Rattus norvegicus: one gene and its partner. The protein of the gene in region 1 purifies or fractionates together with the protein of each later gene. This does not show direct contact. Links are inferred from orthologs where the notes say so. Each region holds a gene or a part of one and is shown in the gene's direction. Other genes may lie near its edges. The genes, in order: Sh2d1a and Cd84.

Evidence for each region.
Region 2: the proteins of Sh2d1a (region 1) and Cd84 purify together in Homo sapiens (affinity purification with western blotting; 4 studies listed by BioGRID and IntAct, with this or other methods). This does not show direct contact. The link is inferred for Rattus norvegicus from reciprocal best matches to the Homo sapiens genes SH2D1A and CD84.

Annotation. Positions count from the first base shown.
Region 1 is NC_086039.1:126,237,766-126,242,255, forward strand, and holds the start of Sh2d1a (SH2 domain-containing protein 1A), read left to right. Parts: upstream 1-1,434; 5' UTR 1,435-1,650; coding exon 1,651-1,787; intron 1,788-4,490.
Region 2 is NC_086031.1:86,890,941-86,895,086, forward strand, and holds the end of Cd84 (SLAM family member 5 isoform 3 precursor), read left to right. Parts: coding exon 1-101; coding exon of another isoform or gene 102-126; intron 127-936; coding exon 937-1,031; intron 1,032-1,953; coding exon 1,954-2,016; intron 2,017-2,536; coding exon 2,537-2,602; 3' UTR 2,603-3,378; downstream 3,379-4,146. UniProt on the Homo sapiens protein: Self-ligand receptor of the signaling lymphocytic activation molecule (SLAM) family.

The DNA of each region.
Region 1 (4,490 bases):
GCAGAATGAAACAGAAAGAAAAGAATGCATGGGATGCTGGCTTCGTCAGATCCAGGTTTCTCTGTTCCTATGTTTGTAGATGATTTGTACAGAGTTGTTCAGAGACCAAAAAGAAAATGGTTAGGTTTTGTTTTAAACCTATGTGACACTCAATGTTCTAGCAGTTACACTATAGGTGGGGTGCTGTCCATATGACTCAATAAAAGAGGATCCCCTTTTTCTTTTCATATTTAAAATGCCTCATTGTAATTGATTTCAAAAGTATTAGCTTTGTTTCCAATAGAGTCCTGGTTAGGTGAACCTCTGATGTTTTTAACATGGATGTAGGTAGGCATTTATGTATGAGAATAGAAGTTACAACACAGTTATCAACCCCTGTGCAGTGACGCAAAGTGGATTTTATATTCACAATGATTCTGGCCTAGCCCCATACACCAAAGGGTGCATAGAAGGTCACATACAACAAACTGGACAGAAAACTCCCACAAGCCAGCAGCCCTATAGGAAGAACTACAGGCAGCTGAGTAAAACCGGGTGTAGTGGTCACCGTAGGGAAGGGCATACTAATTGCTCATCCAGTACCAGATGGCTAGCCCTGAAAACGTACATACAAATAGCATTAGACAGATACAACTGTATCTGTGTAACGTGCTCAGGAATTATATGAACATGCATATATGCATGTGATAACGATGCTGAAGGAGAACAGGGTTCGTTCGATGGTGAAAAGGGTGAAAAGGGAAAGAAGAAATGCTTGGATTTTAATAACGATGATGATGATGATGATAACGCGCCAATAGAAGGATTTGCTCTTTTTAAGCCCTTCAGTTATCTGCAATATTTTGTAATACCATGACAATTTTTTTGTGTGTGTGACTAAACTGATACTTTTGGATCTTGGAAAAAAAACATTAAGGTAAAAAATCTTTGCTTGGGCCTAAGTGTATTCAAGGATTTGGCATACGGCTTAGAGGTAGAAAACTTCATCTGGGAGGTCCCGGACTCTGTCATCATTGAAGAAAAGAGAGTTTTTTCAGGAACATCTAGTCCCAAAGTGCACAGTTCAATAGTACTTGGGAATGCTGTGGAAGCTTCAGAGCCAGACTCTGGTTTTGTAGTTGGGCTGTTTTTATGCTTTTGTTTTGTCAGGCCGTTTCTGCCCCTCATGATGACAAGTACCATTTACCTCTATCAGCCATTCTTTTGTTCACCAGTTCAGCCAAGTCATTGCCGAGGGCTTCACAGGTTGCAGGAACCACACAAGAAAAGCCCTATCAAGCTTCTCATCTTTGTGCAAGCTCTGTCTGCATTGCTGGCACAGCTCAAATGCTGCAAGTGTTCACTTTTCCAGTGTGCCCCTCCCCCACCACGAACTCTGTGTTGGAGACTAGGGTGATCAAACCCATGACAAGTTTGAACCTGTTAAACTGCTGAGCTGGCCTTAATTGAAGTGTGAGAAGAGGTTTTAAGGCAGGTAGACAACATCCTGTTGTTAGGGTGCTCATTTCTCTCTCTCTTTTTTTTCATACTGGCTGCCCTGGGAGTCAGGTGGCTGATTGTGCCCAGCAAGCCACTGCAGCAGCAACAGCAGCAGCGCAAAGTCTTCCTCTTACCATCGTCCTTCTGAGCCCATCAAAGAGTTTGCTAGGCATGGATGCGGTGACTGTGTACCACGGCAAAATCAGCAGGGAGATGGGGGAGAAGCTCTTACTCGCTACGGGGCTGGATGGAAGCTATCTGCTGCGAGACAGCGAGAGTGTCCCTGGCGTGTACTGCCTGTGTGTTTTGTGAGTACATCTTGTGGTCATGGCAGGCTTATAGCATGTGTATCCTGCCCTTTCAGGGGAGGTCCGGGGGGGAGTGGCAGGGGAGGGGGTTACAACTCTTGGCAAAGGAACAGAGGGAATACAGGCAGCAGGAACTGAGTACTCTTCCAGTTCTTACTGGCCCAGGACTCTGCCCAGGGGTGTGGCAGGCAGTACTTGGATGTATGTCCCTCCCTGGGGATTTATCTACTGCATTTCCCCAGTTCGGTTGTGGCAGCTTCACTGAATAGCCTTCAGAATGGGAAAACATGGCCTAGAATTTACCTTTACTTTGAGAAAGGCCCATATTCTAGACTTCGGCTCTGGAGCTCTGGGATGTTGGACTATTTTGTCTTCTGGGCCACGAATTAAGGCAAAGGAAAAGCTTTCTCTATCAATCTCTACAAGTGTGATTGAAAATGGTACCCCAAAAGAAAAGCATCTAACAAATGCTCGGAGAAGTGGCCAACCAGGAAATGGAATTCATTATTTTCGGAATGCCCCTCAGGGAAGGCAGAGGCAGACAGATGTGTGTGAGTTACAGGTAGCTACCCTGGTTAACACAGCCGGTTCCATGCCCACCAGGGCTACACAGTGTACGACCCTAATGAACAACAACAAAGAACACTAAAGCAGCACAGCTCTGGAGAGGAAGTGTGTGAAAGAGCAGAGGTGCCTTTCTCGTGATGCTGTTACCTTGCTTATAAGAGGCGGAATGAGTTTAAAAACGTGGTGTGTCCCGTAAAAGATAGGACTGACAATAAATAGTTTTAAAGAGCACAGAAAGAAAACATCATTCTTCTGACCCCACTTTGACCTTTGCCTAGACTGTTCTCAGCCTCTTGCCCCATTTTGAACCAGGTGCAGCTGCATCCTGGCTCCCAACCTCCCCGAGCGAACCCTACCGTAGTTGGACTCTAAAGCTTGTTCTCTCCGAAAATCAGTCTCTTAGCCCTTGATTTTAAATGGGTTTCATATTCCAAGGGATGATGAAGATGATGCCTCCATGTATTAGAAAAGAAAAAGTAAATGCTGGGCTTTGATACTCAACAGATATGTCTGGTTTATTATTGGTCTCTTTTTGGACAAATTATTTCAGTACTTCTTGAGGAAGTCTCCAGAAGGACCCAGTTTAGGCACTACTGTAAGCAGGGTATTCACACACACACACACACACACACACACACACACACACACACACACACACAGCCTCATTCTAGTACAGTACAGTCTACCTAAAAGCAAAAACAAAACAGTGCTTGGTAGTGAGTTCTGTACATGATGATACACTGCAAAAATTTGAAGTAGTTTCTGGGCCAGAAAATAAAGATTAAATTGAGGCTGGTGTGAAAGGATTGTCATTGTATATTGATTTTTTAAAAATGGCCAAGCCTTACTTTTGGCAGTTTGCAGATCATGCCAAATACATTCATCATAAAGGCTTCAAGGTAAATATATGGAAAAATAATTTTTCAGTGTTGGGGAGAGAATCCAAGAATCCAAGATTTTACATGAGCCTCCAAAATGCTTTTTTTTTTTTTTTTACTAAGCTAGACACCCAGCCCTGGGCTTGGACCTTCATGTTCCTAAGTGGATCCCTAAGAAGAGCTGGGAAAGCCAATGACACTCCTTAGGGTATTTTTTTCTTGTGAAAAGATGAAGGATGGTGAGTGAAACAGGTTGCTTTGGACACACTGATAATAGAGGTAGCATGCTCCTTAACCAAAAGGAAAAGATAAAAGTTCAAATGCAGCCTATGTAGGGGAGAGGGCTGGAGACAGTGTACCTCAGATTTGTGCTTTTCATAGCACCCGATCACCTCTGTTAGGTAACTAAGCCTGCTTCCTTCTCAGGATTTTACACCTGTATTCGACATTACATCTCCTGATCATTAACGAACCTAAGTGGCCTCTCTGGGCTGCTACCCGATTACCTTTATTCAAGGAACTTTAAACTTACTAACATTAGCTTGTTTACTTATATGTGGGGTCTACCACAAACTACCTTCATGAAGGAGCAAACATGGTCTCCAGTACCAGGAGCATATCCTGGTACATAATAGGCACTCAGCACACAATTTGGAATTAGATGAACTGTTCAGCCATATTGTACTCTTCATTAGCAAGAGCATCGGGCTAAGAGGCCAGGGTGGGGGCTCTAGGAAGTCACTCAAGTTCTCTGGGGCTTCACCTTACATCTGCGTAAAATAGAAACCGGTTGTTATAAAACATGGTTGTAAGTGAAATCTTGAAGAAAAGAAACCTTGGTGTTTGGGCACATAGGCCGGAACCATGTAAGGAAATTCTCAGCCTTCTGGTTTTCACTGACAGGGGATGCTGTATAAATGTAAGGTGTTTGCTTGTTTCTTTTGTTTTTTGTTTTTGGTTTTTTTTTTTTTTTTTTTGCTTGCTGTTGACCAATTTCATTTTGAAAACCTTTTCCTATAGACGTGGTGAATTCTCTACCTTGAGTCTCTAGCCCTGTTTATGGGTTTTCACAGTTATGGCCAGAAAACTGTGGAGGAAAGAGACAAGAAAAATAAGAGGAATGTTTTCCTCGCCTTTGATAAGTGCTTCAGGTTTTGTTTGTTTTTAGTTGAGTGTCCCCTTGGAGATACACAAACATTTTGTTCTCTCTCACTGGCACTACATGGTATGTGCAACATGTTATTTGGAACATAACGTA
Region 2 (4,146 bases), on another chromosome or scaffold:
TCCTTACCATGGTGTGTTGCCAGGGGGGCTGGCCGCGCTCTCTCTGCTTATGCTCATTCCAGTGGTGGCACTTCTGTTCCATTTGTACAAGAGAAGGAGAGGTAGGATTGTCCTGGAAGGTAAAATGTGAGAATGTGTCTCCTTTCTTCTAAGAAGTAAGGTTATTTATTTACCCAGACTGGGGAGAAGAGTATCATTTTGGGAACTTTGGTGGCAAGACTTAGACAAGACAAGCTCAGAAATGCTGAAGTCTATGATAATCTTGGATTAGATCCATTGTGTGTAGATGTTTTTGTGTCCTATATAATAAGAAGGCGCAAAATTCTGGCTTTTCAACCTGACCCTAAAACATTGTGTTAATACTAAAGAAAAAGAATGTGTTGAGATTAATACCTCATGTAGCTCAAAAAATTTTAAAGCAAAGATCTATAAACCCTTTCTTTGTTTTTCTGTAGCCTCCTATGGAGTCTGGCATTAAGGAGTAGAAGCTTAATAAATACTTTACTGCTTCATGAATGCTTGTGGTTATAGTCAGTTATGCACCAGGATAAGAAATCACCAAGTATAATTAGAATAAATCAAATTAAACAACCGAGGCCCTGACATGAAAAGTCTACTAACCATGCAAGGTCGTCAATGCCAGAGCTATCTTTGAATTTCATACAGGGCCTAGGAAGATTCTCTTTAGGCTAAACTGAGCCTCAGGCATAAAAAAGAATTCCCAATGTGCTTTAGGTGAGATTTGAGTAAGCTGTGCCCTACCGCACGTGTAATTCTTGGGATGGAAAGAACATCTGAGGATCCGAACATCCTTTTCCATAGGGTGGGAGCCATTTAACCTGCAGATTTTTTTTTATTACAGAAAAATAAAATGACTAGGCAGCCTCTAAAAACCCATCTACCCTTCACAGACTATGGTTCTGTGTTTATTTGTAGCAGATGATGTCTCAAAGAAAATAATATACTCTGCAGTTTCAAGAAATGCCCATCTCACAGAGTCCAGAATCTATGATGAAATCCCACAGTCCACGGTAAGCTGATGCTATTCATAAATGCACCCTATTACTAGGACCACTAGAATAGGAGTCTTGGGCAACACCTGCCTTCTCTTTGCCATTGTATGGAATGTATACACTGTATAGAAGCTACAGCCAAGAATTTGGATAGACCAACAAAGAAACACCACGCTAAGAAAATGATCCTCATGAAAAAAAGAAAAAGATAGTATATTGTCTCCTTACAACAGTGTCCATGGTATAAAGCCCCGAGCGTCACATGAAGGCCTAGCTGTGGGTTAGAAGTGGTTTGTGTCTAAGAAGAGCTCCCTGGAGGGATGAGACAATAAAAGAGTCCTTATTGTGAGTTGAGGGGTGCCATGGGATCACCAACAGGGCAAAATCATTGCTAAGGCTGTTCTGAGGACAGCCCTGAACTACACTAGCTGGTCCAGCAGCAGCTCCTCTTCTCAGACTCTGAACCACTCTGGCCCACACCTTCTGCTTCTTGTCTGCTTTCCCCTGGTTGACACCCACTAAATACCATCTTCCGTGTCTACACAAGCCTGCTTCCCTGGGTCTGCAAGGACTGAAGGGAGACACTTGGGTTTTCCAGTTACTCTGACACTGTACTGGAATTGATGGGGATGCTGTTAGAGTCAGATTAACTCGCACAAAACTAAACTCCAGGCGGAGCGAGACTCAGTCTAAACTACGTAGAGCCCTCCTCCTTGCTCCTAGAGGCCTTTTGCTGCAAGGCTATGTCCAGCTGTCACCCATTTATCTTTATCGTTACCTTAACCTAATCCAGAGTTGGAGAGAACAAGAGCAGATGCCTGCAAAGAAGGCTACACAGTAAAGTTGTGTCAGGAAGCGGGTGATGGAGAGACTGGGTTTAGAAAGAGAGATTCGTAGGGTTTGTCTCCTGCATTCTCGCTGAAGAGAATCTCTTTTCCAGATGCTGTCCCGTACGGAAGAGCCCGTGACCACCATTTATTCCTCGGTGCAGCTTTATGAGAAGGTAAATCCTGTGTGGCCTTTTTATCTCTTTTCCCGTGTGTTCTACCCACCTTCTGTACCCCATCCATCAGTATTTAATTGAAAACCCAAATCTCCTCGAGCCAATGGGAAAGTTGTCCACAGGATCCTGAGTACTAGATTATGTGAGACATAATCTGGTAGTGACTCGTCCCCAGCAGTCATTTGACTCTGTGTGGAGATGAGAATGGAATTGTTGGGAAACAGAAAGAACTAAGACTGAACTATGAACAAATACTGCGTCCTGGATGTTGCTTGAAGTCTAACAATCAAAACCAATTTCGAACATCCTTATTCCTTTCTACTTATCTCTTCCGGGCTAAGAAGTACCCTGGGGCTCCCAAATAAGGGTGCTGGAGCAGAGGTAAAGGACTTCTCAAAAGAAATGGCCTTTCTGCCTCACATGTCCCCAAGCACAGGACATCAGCCTGTGCCATTTTCCTAACTCGCCTCCAATTGCACCTTTCAGTTAACATGTCTTTCATATTTCTTCTCTTACACAGACGGGGAAAACCAACATGAAGGACGAAAGACCACCCAAGACTTTGTGTAATGAAATTGTTGTCTAGGTGAGCGGGCAGTGTTCTCCCTCTGGAAACTGAGTTACAACCACTGTGAGAACAGGGGTCCCGAAGACCTAGGCCTTCTCTGGCTACCCCCTTACCAGAACATTGCAAATACCACATTCCAGCATGCAAGCAGAGCAGGAAACCTTCTGTTGTTGGGCATTCCTTGTACTCAACAACCTTTGTATTCCTTGTTAGGCTTGTGGACACTTTCCCTAACTCGTCAAATCCTTCCTATGAGAACAATAAGACACACTCCCTGAAATGGCACCTCACAAACTCTTTCACTTCGCCGGGCATATAAAAATTGATTTTTTTGGCACAAAGGATGAAATCATCCATGTCTCTAGAAGACTGAATATGGATGGAAGATTCTCCTGTCAATATGTAACATCACTGTCCAACAGCTGTGGGAAGAAATCAGTCAATATTGTGAATACCTGTAACACACCACGGCATACCAGCTGGATCTTCTATGCAGAGTCAACCTGTGTAAGGAGCCCTGAGGCAAGGCCTCCACCAGTCGCTACAATGCCTTAAGTAATTTAGGAATGGCATCTTTAAGGTATATGTTATCCCTTACTTGAAAGCATGGCATAGCCAACCTAGTGTAGGCTACACATTCATTCCTCCACTCAAGAACCATCGTGCAGATCCCACTAAAATCAGGGACTAGACAAGGCTGCCCACTCTCTCCCTACTTATTCAATATAGTTCTTGAAGTTCTAGCCAGAGCAATCACACAACAAAAGGAGGTCAAGGGGATACAGATCGGAAAAGAAGAGGTCAAAATATCACTATTTGCAGATGATATGATAGTATATTTAAGTGATCCCAAAAGTTCCACCAGAGAACTACTAAAGCTGATAAACAACTTCAGCAAAGTGGCTGGGTATAAAATTAACTCAAATAAATCAGTAGCCTTCCTCTACACAAAACAGAAACAAGCCGAGAAATAAATTAGGGAAACGACACCCTTCATAATAGTCCCAAATAATATAAAATACCTCGGTGTGACTTTAACCAAACAAGTAAAAGATCTGTACAATAAGAACTTCAAGACTCTGAAGAAAGAAATTGAAGAAGACCTCAGAAGATGGAAAGATCTCCCATGCTCATGGATTGGCAGGATTAATATAGTAAAAATGGCCATTCTACCAAAAGCGATCTACAGATTCAATGTAATCCCCATCAAAATACCAATCCAATTCTTCAAAGAGTTAGACAGAACAATTTGCAAATTCATCTGGAATAACAGAAAACCCAGGATAGCTAAAACTATCCTCAACAATAAAAGGACTTCAGGGGGAATCACTATCCCTGAACTCAAGCAGTATTACAGAGCAATAGTGATAAAAACTGCATGGTATTGGTACAGAGACAGACAGATAGACCAATGGAACAGAATTGAAGACCCAGAAATGAACCCACACACCTATGGGCACTTGATTTTTGACAAAGGAGCCAAAACCATCCAATGGAAAAAAGATAGCATTTTCAGCAAATGGTGCTGGTTCAACTGGAGGTCAACATGTAGAAGAATGCAG